Linked DNA regions of Sus scrofa. The protein of the gene in region 1 binds, or shares a complex with, the protein of each later gene. Links are inferred from orthologs where the notes say so. Each region holds a gene or a part of one and is shown in the gene's direction. Other genes may lie near its edges. The genes, in order: TAF3 and TAF12.

Region 1 (7,549 bases):
CTCTCCCTTGTCGAAATATCTTGACGAGGTTGAAACTACCAGTTGCATAAGGATCACCGGCATTGCTCTGGAATTGAGAACTTCTAGGATCTGCATGTCAGCTTGCTAAACTTACTTTCTCCAGTTTCCCGTTTTGCACGCTGCTTTCCAGACACCTTATCCCGTGGTCTTAAACAGCTCCCCACGCGCATACCTCCCTGTGTCATCTCTTTCTTCCTGTGCTTTACCATTCCCAGTCTCCAGATATCTAAAACGCTGCGTAAGTAGTCACATTTTTTTCCAGATCTTGGACATGAAGGTAATCCGTTTCTCCCTTGAACTACTCGAGCACTTTATCTACCTTACGGTCCATGCCACGTTCTGTGTGGTGTCTCTTGCTAAACTGTAAGCTCTTTTAGCTCATGATTTATTTCTGACTTAGCCCAGTAGCTCCTTCAGCCGTTAGCATTGTGCGCTATGCCTGGTATATATGCTCAAGGTAATACGTGTAGACAGAAAGGATCTGCTCCTATAGCAACTCAGTCAAGTAAGCAAGGCAGGTAACATTAGCCCCTTTTGAAAGGTCAGGAAGCAGCCACAAAGAGGCTAAGAGATTGCCCTGTGGTGCCCGAACGCCTGCTGAAATGCCTCTTTCTAACGCCAAGCCAGTGTCTCTGACTTCACCACGCCACCTCTCAAGGTAGCTGACCTCAAGCAAGCGGAAAGAAGACGTAAGTAGCAGATGAATGGTGCTAGGTCAGAGGTTTACATTTTCCAAACTCCGAGAATTAAAATTTTGTTTTGAGGAGTTCCTGTCGTGGCTCAGTGGTTAACGAATCCGACTAGGAACCGTGAGGTTGCGGGTTCGGTCCCTGGCCTTGCTCAGTGGGTTGAGGATCTGGCATTGCCGTGAGCTGTGGTGTAGGTTGCAGACGCGGCTTGGATCCTGCGTTGATGTGGCTCTGCAGCGGTGGCTGCAGCTCCGATTGGACCCCTAGTCTGGGAACCTCCATATGCCACGGGAGCGGTCCTAGAAAAGAAAAAGACAAAAAAAAAAAAATTGTTTTGAAAGTTCTAAAAAAAAAAAGTACACCTTTCTGTCATTTCTGAGGATAGTAGCCATATAATAACCCATCTCTGGATTTGTAGGGGTTTGTGTGTGTGTGGTATGTGCGCGTGTGCACCTGTGTGTGCCTGAATTCGTGTACACAAGAGGAAGAGGAAAAGAGAAAGACAGGGCTTCGTCAGGTTAGGAGAAGAATTAATAAAGGAAGCAGAGGGCACCCGGGAAATACTTAGCAAGCTCCAGATCCCGCAAGGAGGGCCACGCCTCTGGAAAGGAGTAGAGTTTGGTGTCTGCTGTCCTGAGTCTCCACTCTTTGGACAGCAAAGGGGTGTGAGTCTGCAAGATCCTAGGAAACGTACCGCTTCACTCTCTAGACACTGTCCGTAATTTCTTTTCTTTCCCTGAAGTCATGTTCAAAGCATTGTTTTTATTTCTCAAGGTTTTAAAAAATATGTATATTCTAATAACTTCTTTTTCTTCCTTTACCAGAAGAAGAAGAAGAGCAGGTGCCCACCGATGGGGGCACATCGGCAGAGGCCATGCAGGTTCCCTTGGAAGAAGATGACGAGCTGGAGGAGGAGGAAATTATTAACGATGAGAACTTCTTGGGTAAGAGACCGCTGGACAGTCCGGAAGCTGAAGAACTGCCTGCCATGAAGCGGCCTCGCCTGATAAGCAGCAAAGGAGACACCCTGGACGTGGTGTTGCAGGAAGCCCGAGAACCGCTCAGCTCGATCAACACCCAGAAGATCCCGCCAATGCTCTCTCCCGTCCACGTCCAGGACAGCGCGGACCTCGCGCCTCCGTCACCAGAGCCGCCCATGTTAGCTCCGGTGGCAAAATCACAGATGCCAACCGCAAAGCCACTGGAAGCAAAGTCGTTTACCCCCAAAACAAAGACTAAAACTACTTCTCCAGGACAGAAGGCTAAATCGCCTAAAACGACTCAGTCACCAGCAATGGTCGGAAGTCCTATTCGGTCACCAAAAACTCTATCCAAAGAAAAGAAGTCTCCTGGACGTTCTAAGAGCCCCAAAAGCCCCAAGAGTCCCAAGGTTATGACTCCTCTCCCCCAAATCCCCATCAGACCTGAAACACCAAACAGGACTCCTTCAGCCACAGTAAGTGAAAAAACGAGTAGAGAGACCATTCAGGTAAAACAAATACAAGCTCCCCCCGATGCTGGGAAACTGAACAACGAGACTCAGCCGAAAAAGGCCGTCGTGACCGATAAGACCATTGACGACTCCATCGATGCCGTGATTGCGCGAGCTTGTGCCGAGCGGGAGCCAGATCCTTTCGAATTCTCCTCTGGATCAGAATCAGAAGGAGACCTTTTCACCAGCCCGAAGAGAATTTCAGGTTCAGAATGTACTACTCCGCAAGCTTCCGCCTCCTCAAACAACTTCCCCAAGTCAGGGTCCACGCCTCGGCCTCTTTCGGGCGGAACCTCGAGCTCTGACAACTCATGGACCATGGACGCCTCCATCGACGAGGTGGTCAGGAAGGCCAAGCTGGGGACGCCCCCCAGCGTGCCCCCCGGCTTCCCTCCCATCTCCTCTCCTTCCATCTCTCCTCCCACCCCCGAGCCTCTCCACAAGGTGTACGAGGAGAAGCCCAAGCCGCCGTCCTCCGCAGACGTCAAAAAGAAGTTGAAAAAGGAACTGAAGACGAAGATGAAAAAGAAGGAAAAGCAGCGAGACAAGGAGAGGGACAGGGACAAAAGCAAGGACAAGAGCAAAGAGAAGGGGAAGGACAAGGAGAAGGAAAGGGAAGCCAGCAAGGAGACCAAGCATCCTTGGAAGGACTTCCTGAAAGACGAGGAGGCCGACCCCTACAAGTTTAAGATCAAGGAGTTTGAGGACGTGGACCCCAAAGGGAGATTGAAAGATGGACTCGCGAGAAAGGAAAAGGAGAAGCATAAGGATAAGAAGAAAGACAGAGAAAAGGGCAAGAAGGACAAAGAGAAGCGGGACAGAGAGAAAGCGAGGGACAGAGGGCGGGATGAGAAGCTGAAGGTGCCCTCCGGCGCCCTGGCGCTGCCCCCGAAGGACGCGGCGCTGCCCCTGTTCAGCCCCACCGCGGCCCTGCGCGTCCCCGCCACGCTCCCGGCCCTGTCGCCCCTGCTCCCCGAGAAGCTGCTCGAGGAGAAGGAGAAGCCCAAGGAGAAAGACAGGAAAAAGGACAAAAAGGAGAAGAAGAAGAAGAAGGAGCGGGAGAAGGAGAAGGAGAAGAAGGAGCGGGAGCGGGAGAAGGAGAAGAGAGAGCGGGAGAAGCGGGAGAAGGAGAAGGAGAAGCACAAGCACGAAAAAGTAAGCAGCTCCCCTTGGGGCCCTGGGGCCCCGTCCCGACCGAGCCCTGGGGGGAACACGGGTACTCAGAGCCGGCCGCTGGCCTGCCGTTTGCCGGGGAAAGCACTCACAACCTCACTGGAAACATGTCTTGCCGTGTGTTTACAAAGCTTAACTTTAATTCTCAAACCCCGTAAACCTGTCCTCAAGCCCCCTAGACCCTGGCAAACGTTAAAAATTCATAGCCTGGGAGGACGCCAATCACAGACCATCAGCTCTCTCTTAACCGTACTGATCTCTGGCCGGTATAAAAATCCGTGACCCTCAAGGCAAGTAATATTTGTGTCATTATCAAGCCCAGTGCAGACTCCTCTCTACCCAAACATTAGACACCCGAAAAGGCAGCGTCCACTTTTCTGAGAGTCGCAAACCTGCGGCACTGTCCCAAGGGGACAGGAAGGCCTCTGGGGTCCTTCCTCGCCCACTGGCTTTTCGTCTTGGTGAGCCGTCCTGGCCAGAGCGCAAGGTCTGGCCTGTCTCCCTGTAGGAGGATCTTGTCTCCTCTTTCCCGCTTCAGTCAGACCAGGACGTGTCTCTGAGCATCCAGCTGGCCTGGCAGCTGGTTGGCGGGTAGAAAGTCCTATTTCCCCGTGTAAGCAGCCAGGCTTCTGGAGAATACGGCCAAAGGAACCGAGGCACACCCCGCGGTCTCACGGGAACCCAGACCCTCATCCTTTGGGCACAGGACGGGACCTCTGCTTTTATAGCTTTGCTGTCTGTGCACGGTTTGGGGACTACAGTGGTTGCCTGGTTGATTTGAAAGTTTCCTTTAAACTTTCTTAAAAAGCATAGTTGTCTGTGGTGCATCTGTGATGATCCTTAGATTCTTGCTCTGTGTTCTGGAAACACTCCTCTTTGAGGCTGGCTACAGAGTAATACCCAGTAATTTTTTCCACATAATAAAGCATGCTCTGTTTGACCTACAGCAGTTCTATTACCAACACTTTTGCAGTGTTTTTAATTTCAGGCTTAACTGGAAAACTTAGTTTGGCTGACAAGCAGAGATGACCACTCACCCGTTTTTCTGCCTAACTCTTCTTTCTGTGTCCCTCTTGGCTATTATTCTAAAATATAAAGAAGTGGGATGGAAATTCCGACATTGATAACTGAATATTGGCAGTTAAGGAGACACAGAAATTCAGCTCTTTTTCCCCACTTGGAAGTCGTTTTATCATTCAGTTATTTCTACGTGGTACCTGGAAGATTTTAAGGTGCTACCACATAACTTAGTTTCTCCTCCTGACACACCCTTGACCTAGCAGCAGGTATTGTCATCAACATGTATAGACGAGCAACAGCCTGCGTGACTTGTCCAAGGTCAAGGTCACACAACCAGCAGGAGCCAGGTCAGGTCCACACTGACTGACGTCCCCTTGTGCAGTGTTTACTGCTCCTGATCCTGCCTGGCAGCAGTCAGCACTTACCCATCAGGTGCCTGGGAACTTGGCTCATGAGCCCTTGGCAAATCAGGGTGCATTGCTTTCACCACCACCTCACCTTTGGAAAGTCAGTGGAGTTGCCCAGAGTGGCTGTTACGGATTTGAGGAGAGCCCGTCAGGTTAGATGGAGCGCGGTCCACGGCGTGCCTACCCAGCACCTGCGGACTTTGGGAAAGACGAGCCCCTCACTCAGACCACTTGGGTCGGAGGTAAAGGCTCCGTTACGAGCTGCAGGCTTCACCTGACAGAGGAATACAAGTCCTTGTGTCAGTGTTGATGGATCAGCCTGGTGACAAAAGATAAAAACATGTAAAAGGCAGCCATCGGGGCTTAAACAATAATAAACAGTATTGTGTCTAGAGGCAAATCCGGGTTCCGGTCCTGACTTTTTCAGCCCTGTGAACTTGGGCACATTGCTTATGTGAGGATTAAAGGAGCTGGCATCTGAGACTGGCCTGCTCCTGTTTCTGGCGCAGAAAGAAATGCTCAGTAAGCGGGGAAGGTGGGGCTGGCCGTGGCGGGCGTGGTGGTTCCCTTCGGCGTCAACCCGAAAAACGTATAGGAACCTGCGTCGAGTTCACGGCTCCACTGGACCCGAGGGACCGACCTGTGCACAAGAGGGTGTCAGCGATGGCTACAGTGTTTCCAGAGCGTCTGCTTCCTTGGCACTCTTTTAAACGTTGGCCCTTTTTGTGGCGAGGGTTTGTGTAACCCATGGAACGCCTTTGACAAGGAGTAGACATTGAGAGGTTCAGGCTTCTCTTTTTTCAACTCCCCTTCATCCTCTGCAAAGTACCAAGCCGTGTGAGTGAAGGAGAAGGTACTTGAAACTGGGTTGCATGTGATCTATGACTTTTCTCAGGTATCCACAGAAGTAAGACAAGAGTTAATCAAGACGAGACATATCTAAGCTGCCCCCCAAAAAATGTAGTCAAAAGAACGAGGGCCACCGTTTGCTTACTCCTGCTCCCGACCAGCTCGCAGAGCAGCTCCGTGGACAGTGACCCCGGTCAGCGAGCAAGGCCATTGGTTTTGTTTGTTTGTTTGGCTGTACCTACGGCGTGTGGAAGTTCTCGTGCCAGGGATCGAGTCTGAGCCACAGCAGTGACCCGAACTGCTGCGGCGATGCAGGATCCGTAACCCCTAGGCCCTCGGGAAATTCCAAGGACACTGTTTTTTAATTAAAAAAAAAAAAAAAAAACCCACCCATGTTTATTTTACCTACCTGTAAAGTTTTCTTTAGTCATACCTGTATTTATCAGTACAAGAACAAATAAAGATATCATTAATTAGATGAGAATCTGCATAGCAGTTAGGACAAGGCTTGGGCTTTGGAATCAGGCAGGCCTGAGTGAGGTGTTTTAGTTTCTTTAATCCTTAGGTATTTCATCTTTGAAGCACCATAAATAGCACTTTTTGAAAAACTGAGTTTTTTGAAATACTCAGTAGTATTAACTATTACGTTTATATATATTAAATAACCTCAGTAAAACTGGTTTGTGTCATTACTGAAACACCGTGTATAAGTTTAGTTCTTATCACAACTCCCTCAGGTAGATAATATAATTACTGTCCCTTTAAGATAAGAAACTGAGTCTTAGAGATGAGACTGATAAACTTGCCCAAGGTCACACACCCAGAAAGTGATTGAACAGGAGCCACAGCTTCAGCCCAGGCCATCGGCTGCTAGAACCGATGTCTTTAAGCAGGTATGGTGGTTTACAAGTCTTTTAGTTGCCTTTCATGGGCAGCCGTGTGCTTTAGTCGGGGTCAGGAGTCTGGTATCTCACCTGTTTAATGTAGAACCAAATGGAGAGCTCTGTGGTGGCCTAACAGGTTGAGCATCCACTGTTGTCACTGCTGTGGCGTGGATTCACTTCCTGACCCCAGAACTTCTGCATGCCATAGGCAAGGCCAAAAATAAATAAATAAATAACCTTGTATGGAAAACATATTGAGAGCAGTCACAGAGTTAACCATAGTAGCTTGAGCTGTGAGAAACCTAACAGAAAATTTCAGAGCAGTTAATTTTTTTTTTTTTTTTCCTGTTTTGCTATTTCTTTGGGCTGCTCCCACGGCATATGGAGGTTCCCAGGCTAGGGGTCGAATCGGAGTTGCAGACAGTGGCCTGCGCCAGAGCCACTGCAACGCGGGATCCAAGCCGCCTCTGCAGCCTACACCACAGCTCACGGCAACACCGGATCCTCAACCCACTGAGCAAGGGCAGGGACCTAACCCGCAACCTCATGGTTCCTAGTCAGATTCATTAACCACTGCGCCACGACGGGAACTCCTAAAATTTTTATTATAAATTTGTATTTGTGTCAGTGTCTCTATTACAGGACTTAATTTATTTCAAACCATGGTTCTTGGGGATTGCGATGGATGTTAAAGAACTACTTTAACTAAAATTTACTCTTGCTGTTTTAAGTGAAAAAATAAGAAAGCATCTCATTTTTAATGTTAGTGGAATTGAAGTTCATTAACCTGATGCAGAAGATAAGCCAAGGAGTTCCCGTCGTGACACAGTGGAAACAAATCAGTGGGTTAAGGATCCGACGTTGCCATGAGCTGTGGTGTAGGTCTCGGACGCAGCTTGGATCCTGCATTGCTATGGCTGAGCTGTAGGCCGGCAGCTGTAGCTCTGATTCGACCCCTAGCCTGGGAACCTCCATATGCCGTGAGTGTAGCCCTAAAAAAAAGCAAAAAAAAAA
Region 2 (7,549 bases), on another chromosome or scaffold:
CTGGACCCCTAGCCTGGGAACCTCCTGGTGCAGCCCTAAAAAAGAAAAAAAAAGAACACAGACTTTAGGAGTTGCTACTATGGCACAGTGGGTTGAGAATCCGACTCTGATGGCTTGGGTTGCAGCACAAGTGTGGGTTCAGTCCCCAGTTTGGTGCTATGTGGCTCAGATCCAGTCCCTGGCCTGGGAACTTCCATATGCTATGGGTGTGGTCATAAGAAAAAAAAATAAATAAAAGCACAGACTTCAGAGGCAAACAAATCTGAATTTGAGTTTTGGTTCTGTGGGTGAGATTCAGCTTCCTCCTGTGTTGGTAGGAAGTCTTAACAATTTTCAACTCACTTTTAACAATTTTAATTGTTTCTAGAACATTCCTCCATATTTCTAAGTAGTATATTTAAACATATTTTTGGTTAATTAATTTTATAATAGTCATAGACTTCCTATTATGGTAGATGAGAATTTTTTTTTTGGGGGTCTTTTTAGAGCCACACCCTCAGTGTATGGAGATTCCCAGGCTAGGGGTCCAGTCGGAGCTACAGCTGCCAGCCTACACCACAGCCACAGCAACTCAGAATCCAAGCCGAGTCTGCAACTTACACCACAGCTCATGGCAAAGCCAGATCCTTAACCAACTGAGCAAGGCCAGGGATCGAACCTGTGCTCTTGTGGATGCTAGTCAGATTTGTTGCCACTGAGCTACAACGGGTACTCGGAGAATTTGTTAAACCACTGTTACATGTGCCACATGTGTGGAGAAGTTCCTGTCGTGGCTCAGTGGTTAGGGATCCCGACTAGTACCCATGAGGATGCAGGTTCGATCCCTGGTTTCGCTCAGTGGGTCAAGGATCCGGTGTTGCTCTGAGCTGTGGTGTAGGTTGCAGACACAGCTTGGATCTGGCATTGCTGTAGCTGTGGTGTAGGCCAGCAGCTACAGCTATGATTTGATCCCCAGCCTAGAAGTTTCCATATACCATGGATGTGGCACCTAAAAAGACCAAAACAAAACAAAACAAAACAAAACAAAAAACCTTTAGAATATGAAAGATGAAATTCTCTTGTGATGCTGTGGGCTAAGGATCCAGCATTGCTGCAGCAGCTCAGGTTGCGGTTGCTACTGTGGTGCAGGTTCAACCCCTGGCCTGGAAAATTCCACATTCTGTGGGCGTGGCCATAAGTAAATAAATTAATTAAATAAAGGAATGAGGAATTAGTGATTCACTTGTATTTTCCTACGTAATTCAGAAGAAGATATAGGGGGGTGGGTAGGGGTGGGCTGGTTGTTCCCTGCTGGGTAGAAATACAGAAAGTACATCCTCAGAGAGGTGTGAGTTTCTCTCCACCTGGTTAATGAGTTGATGTCTTTCTTTTGTTGTCCTCAGTCCTTTTCCCCACCTTCGCTCAAATGTTGATTTCCAGACCCTCTGCTAGAAAACCTGACTAAATATGCGGTTCAGTTGTCCCAGCAACAGGAGCCTACCCTGCCAATGTCTTGGTTACTCTCCCCCACCTTTTTCCCCCAGATGCTGCTGCAGATCGCTGATGATTTTATCGAGAGCGTGGTGACAGCAGCCTGCCAGCTTGCTCGGCATCGCAAGTCCAGCACACTGGAAGTAAAGGATGTCCAGCTGCATCTAGGTAGGTGGTCTCATTTCCCCCTGAGGGATCCACACTTTAGTTCCTTTAGGAGCCTGCAGGAACCTGATCAAACTTTTGGACTTTGGGGAGTTCCCTTCATGGCTCAGTGGTTAACGAACCTGACTAGGATCCACAAGGACGTGGGTTCAATCCCTGGCCTCGCTCAGTGGTTAAGGATCCAGCATTGCCGTGAGCTATGGTGTAGGCTGCAGACGCAACTGGGATCCTGAGTTGCTGTGGCTCTGGTGAAGGCCGGTGGCTACAGCTCCAATTTGATCCCCAGCCTGGGAACCTCCATATGCTGCAAGTGTGGCCCTAAAAAGACCAAAAAAAAAAAATTTTTTTTTTTAATAAAAATAAAAGGAAGGAAGGAAGAAAGACTGGTAACTTGTAGTGACAGTCTTACAGGGATGGTAACTTCCTAGTGACAGTCTTATAGGGATAGTCATGTCCAATGGCACAAGGACATGGAGCTATGATGTGGACATGCCTGTGTCTATATCTGTATCTCTATGTATTTATCCCAGGCTCTGGGATTATGCCATTGAAGGCTCTCAACCACCCACCCGATCACATGGTTATTTCTGTTGTTACTACCATATAAAAGATGAAGAAACTGAGACCCAACATCATACTGCTCCACAGTGAAGCAGTAGAGCTGGGACTTGACTCTTAACTCCACCTTGTTTGGAGTGCCTTTCTGTTCCTGCTCCTTTGGATTTGAGAGGGGTTACCTTGAGCATAGGGGGCAAGACCATTGAAGAAACAGATAATGTTCCTTTCCTGTAGAGCTGCATGGAAACCATAGGACCCCTACACTCAAAGTTTTGACTCATTTACCTCTTTTTTCTTTGCAAGAAGTTCAAATGGTGTTCTTTAAAACCTTGGAGGCGTCATATGCAATTCCCCCATTTGTGTTGCATAGAACCCTCGGCAGAGTTCCTGTTAATTAGTTCAGTTGATCACCCAGATTAGTCCTTCTTGACCCTTGTCTGAGGGTCACACTGCCCCTCATGCTGCCTTCCTGGTCCTCTTAACTCTGTGTGGGCCTCTTCCTTGCAGAACGCCAGTGGAACATGTGGATCCCAGGGTTCGGCTCTGAAGAAATCCGACCCTACAAAAAAGCTTGCACCACAGAAGCTCATAAACAGGTGAGAAGTCTTCAGGGTCTCAGGGCAGCCACATCAGAGCCCTTGAGCTGTGTCTCAGAGGGAATGCACACAGCTACCATCACTGCAGGTGTCACTTTCCCCAAAGGCCAGAGAGGCCAAGAAGCAGCAAGGCTCCATGGGAGATCAGCCTGATATTTCCTGGGTGCTTTGCTGTTCCCACATGGAGTCTCAGGTCTTTTCCTCAATTCTGATGGGTGTCACTTAAAGCAGTTGATTCTAGGTTTTTCTAATATGGGTGGAACTCACCACCACCACCTCTCTTTTATGAAATCTTCCTTCATTGTTGCTGATTTGAACATCATATTGAGGGAATTTTAAGGAAAGCAGAAGTGTGTTGCACTTGTGCTAGGAGGTGACACCCAGGCATTCGGGCCTCTTTCCCAGCTTAACTTTTGTCCTCTGTCCATCTTACTGCAGAACTGAGGGGTCAAGCTGTCTCTGTCATTGGTCAGTCTGATAGCAATGTTGGCCTCCATTTGACAAGTCTTAATTTAACCAGATACTCTGATTGGAAAGTAGGCTTTTTCCAAGCTTGACAGGCACAAGTGGGCAGTCCTGGCTAAATATACCTTGCTTTTCCATAGCCTGGGGTCTCTGGAGCAGGGGTGTTTATAGAGCTCATAGAGAAGCCCTACAAGGAGGCCACCAACAGCCTGCATCAAAGGATTGCAGTGTTCTTCAGAAGGCATTGTCTCTGGTCCCAAATGTTCAGCCTTATTTATTTATCAGTCAATAAATTTTATAATGTTGAAACAATCGCTTAGTCAAAAGGACTAGGCAAAGGCAAGTCATTAGTTTGGCTGATAATAGTAAAATTTGAAACCCATGATCTAAATGTTTCCCTGATGGATTATAGTGGAAGACGTTGGGGTCACTGGGCAGGACATGCCTGCCGCATGTAGAAGTTCCCAGGCCAGGGATCTAACCCCTCGCCACAGCAGCAGCCCAAGCCACGGCAGTACGTCGGATCCTTAACTCCTTGAGGTCATTTTCCTTCATTGTATATCATCGAGTGTGAAATGTCAGCTTCTTTTTCTTTCTTTCTTTTTAATAGGGCTGCAACTGCAGCATATGGAAATTCCCAGGCTAGGGGGCAAATAGGAGCTGCAGCTGCCAGCCTATGCCACAGCCCCAGCAACACCAGATCCGAGCCGTGTCTGTGACCTACACCATAGCTCACGGCAGTGTTGGATCCTTAACCCACTGAGCAAGGCCAGGGATTAAACCTGTATCCTCATGGACTAGTTGGGTTCTTAACCTGCTGAGGCACAATGGGAACTCCTCAGTTCCTTTTATGTGTAGCAACAGGCTTGAAACACAGGCCTCATCACTGTTTTATTATCATCAGAGAAACAGTGGGGAAGGGAGGATAAGCATAGAAAACATGTTTTGATGGCCTGTCCCTTAAATCCTCAAAAGGCAAGAGCTGTCACCTTCTACTTTTTAATTTTTTTTTTTTTGTCTTTTTTTGTTGTTGTTGTTGTTGTTGTTATTGTTGCTATTTCTTGGGCCGCTCCCGCGGCATATGGAGGTTCCCAGGCTAGGGGTTGAATCAGAGCTGTAGCCGCTGGCCTACGCCAGAGCCACAGCAACGCAGGATCCGAGCCGCGCCTGCAACCTACACCACAGCTCACGGCAACGCCGGATCGTTAACCCACTGAGCAAGGGCAGGGACCGAACCCGCAACCTCATGGTTCCTAGTCGGATTCATTAACCACTGCGCCACGACGGGAACTCCTACTTTTTAATTTTTGCCATACTGCTAGCATAGAGGAGTTTGGGTCTTTTGGTCAATAAAATGGGTCCAGTGGCCTAGTGAAACATTTCTTAGGACCCCATAGACTGTGCTTGAGCCAAGAGTCTGCTGAGCTGCCCTGTGTCTATAAATTCCTGAGGGTTTCAGCCTGTGGTGCAGCCACACATAGATGGTCTAGAAAATTCCTGACTCTAACTTGTGGAATTGCTTATTTCTCTCCTTTCAGAGAATGGCATTGATCCGGAAAACAACCAAGAAATAACACATGGAAAGGTCAGGGAATGGACAACAATGTATTTGGAGATACTTGAGCTGAGACCTCAGCCATCTCATCCTTGGATTTTTTTTTTTTTTAATGCTTTACAGAGAAGCATATATTTTTTATTAACAGTGCAGCAATATCTATAATGACTGAGAAGATCTGCCAAAAGAATAAAGCCTCCTACCCCAACTTCCAGTCCCATTTTCCTCCCGTCTCAAAGAAGAGCAGTGTATCTTCCAGAGAAGATTTTATTTGGTTTATTATATAAGTGATTGACTAGGGGACAAAGCATTATGGTCTTGTTTGGTGAGGCAGTATTAACAAGATTTTAGAGATTTTTTTTTCCTTCTCCCTTCCCCTTTTCCCTGTACTTTGTAATGTCAGTGTTTATATGAATATGATTTTCATTTCCTTTTCCAGAATAAAGAAGTTATTAGTCAAAAGACACAGGGTGTATGGCTTCTAGCCTTTAAAATGCCATAGGATAAGCAAGGCTGGATGTGGCTCTTTAGTCAGCAGATGGCAGCACCATTATTCATTTCTGTGATGGAGGCAAAACCCAGGGATTTTTCCATTATTTTTCTCCAAGGAAGGCCTTACCACCAGGAGAACTTTGAGTCCAGCTTCTCTGCCATAAGAATTGAGCAGGGTGACCTTCTCTCATGAGCCCCAAACTGAAGAGGCATCCTGGTTTTGGGAAATCCATTCTTGACCTGCTCTTCTGGAACTTCTGGATTTTATCCTTGACCCTAAGAAAGGATGGCAGCGGCCTTGAGGAAAGGCCTTTCTGTGCATGCGCCTATCTGTTCTTAGTTGTTGCTCTCCCTGATCCTGGTATTTTCAGCATCGTGCGGAGGAAACCAGGCCCCTTGAGACCTCAAGGTCCTGACCTTCAGTGGCACCTGGCATCATCCTGTTTTGTGCCCAGCATAGCTCTGGTGGATTGTGAGGATTCCATGGGAGCGTGGCTCTTCCACCCAGGGGCCACCAGCATGGGCACATCCACCTTGCCCTGCTTTGGGCCTCTGCCTCCTCAGGCTTGGTCCGGGGTGGGCCCCTGCTTTTTGTTCTCTCCCGCTTTGAGTTTGACCCCATGACCCCTCTCTTCACAGCCTCGTAGATCTCTTGATGTCATCATTGCTGTTGGCTGATACCTCAAGGTAGTGAGTGCCCAAAGAGGCAGCCAGCTTTTCCCCTTCCTCCAGCAGCACCTGTCGCTCAGCCACCAGGTCACTGTTGTGGCCTGCCACCAGGAAGAGGATGTTGAGGGTTTTCTTTCTCCAGAACCTCCTGCTGCCGCTGGGGGACGCTGTCAAAGCATGTTCTATTTGTGATTACAAAGGTGAAAAAGGCCTCCCGCCAAGTTCCAGCAGTAGGAGCAAGTCACTGGTCTCCGCAGGCAAGAAGGAATCCAGAATTAATTTTGAGTCTTCCATTGAGGACAGAAGGGGACAAGGGAATCAGGCAGTTTAATGGAAAAAGCCGGGTAGGGTCAAAAGACCACGGTTCTTAACCAGCTGTGTGACAGGTGAGTGGCTCCATCCAGCTGCGCTGTCTTGTCCTGTGTGCACACCAAGAGGCTTGTTCATTCAGTGAGTATTTATCTGCTGCACCGCTGCCCCTGCCAGGCATGGCCTACAACGATGAATGGAAACAGGAGTGATCTTGCCATTGGGTGAAAGGAAAACTGCCTCTGTGACAAGGGCTGCAAAGGAGAGGCTCCCAGGGCTGGGGAGGGCGTCTGTGCAGTTGAGCTGTAATTTGAGGGACCCAGGGGAAGGCACGGGGATCACTTTATTTTTTCTTTTTTTCCTTTTTTGTCATTTCTAGCGTCACACCCGCGGCATATGGAGGTTCCCAGGCTAGGGGTTTAATTGGAGCTGTAGCCGCCAGCCTATACCACAGCTCATGGCAACTCCGGATCCCTGACCCACTGAGCGAGGCCAGGGATTGAACCTGCAACCTCATGGTTCCTAGTCGGATTCATTAACCATTGAGCCACGACGGGAACTCCAGCATCACTTTCATACCACATGTGTGCCAGCTCTGAGGCAGGGTTGGTGGGGTGTGATGAGCCAGGTCATGCAGTGTCTTGCAGGTCCCAGCAGAGTGGGCTTTACCCAAAAAGTAGCAGGAGCCATTGAAAGATTTTAAGCAGAAGTGTGACGTGGTCAGATTAGCATTTTGAAAAGATCACTCTGGCCAGGAGCGGATAGAGAGGACACTTGTGCAAGGAGAGGTTCATGTTCGTTGCCTGGACTGAAGTGACTGTGACAAAGTGGAGAGAAGGAGGAAATTTGACAGCTGTTCCAGTGAGGCACTTGCAGGCCTTAGTGACTGGATGTGGGGGTATAGGAGAGAGGGGTGTCACCAAGTGATCAGGAAGGTCTTCCGACTTGGTGTCCACATCTCTGGTGTAGCTCAGTCCCCTGGCCTGGGCAGGAGGCCCTCCACCTTGCTAGCTAAGTAGCCACGTCTACTTGATTCCCAGAGCCTAGTACAGTCTGAGCACACAGAGGATTTAATCCTTGCTGAGCGGTAGCAGGGCTGGTGAATTCCTGCACTTCTGCGTTGGGAGGGTCTTGGTAACAGTGCTTATTGGGTGCCAAGCACCTTCTGTGAAGAAAAAAATATTTGTCAAGCACATTGGAATATCTCATTTAATCCCATTTCCAATGAGGAAACTAAAATTTAGAGAAGTAATTTACTCAAAATCATGAA

The links.
Region 2: TAF3 (region 1) and TAF12 share a complex: the UniProt entries of both Homo sapiens proteins name them as parts of the TFIID basal transcription factor complex. The link is inferred for Sus scrofa from reciprocal best matches to the Homo sapiens genes TAF3 and TAF12.

What each region holds. Positions count from the first base shown.
Region 1 is NC_010452.4:63,455,743-63,463,291, reverse strand, and holds part of TAF3 (transcription initiation factor TFIID subunit 3), read left to right. Parts: intron 1-1,534; coding exon 1,535-3,357; intron 3,358-7,549. UniProt on the Homo sapiens protein: The TFIID basal transcription factor complex plays a major role in the initiation of RNA polymerase II (Pol II)-dependent transcription.
Region 2 is NC_010448.4:85,616,405-85,623,953, reverse strand, and holds the end of TAF12 (transcription initiation factor TFIID subunit 12), read left to right. Parts: intron 1-1,523; coding exon 1,524-1,638; intron 1,639-2,700; coding exon 2,701-2,789; intron 2,790-4,792; coding exon 4,793-4,828; 3' UTR 4,829-5,275; downstream 5,276-7,549. UniProt on the Homo sapiens protein: The TFIID basal transcription factor complex plays a major role in the initiation of RNA polymerase II (Pol II)-dependent transcription.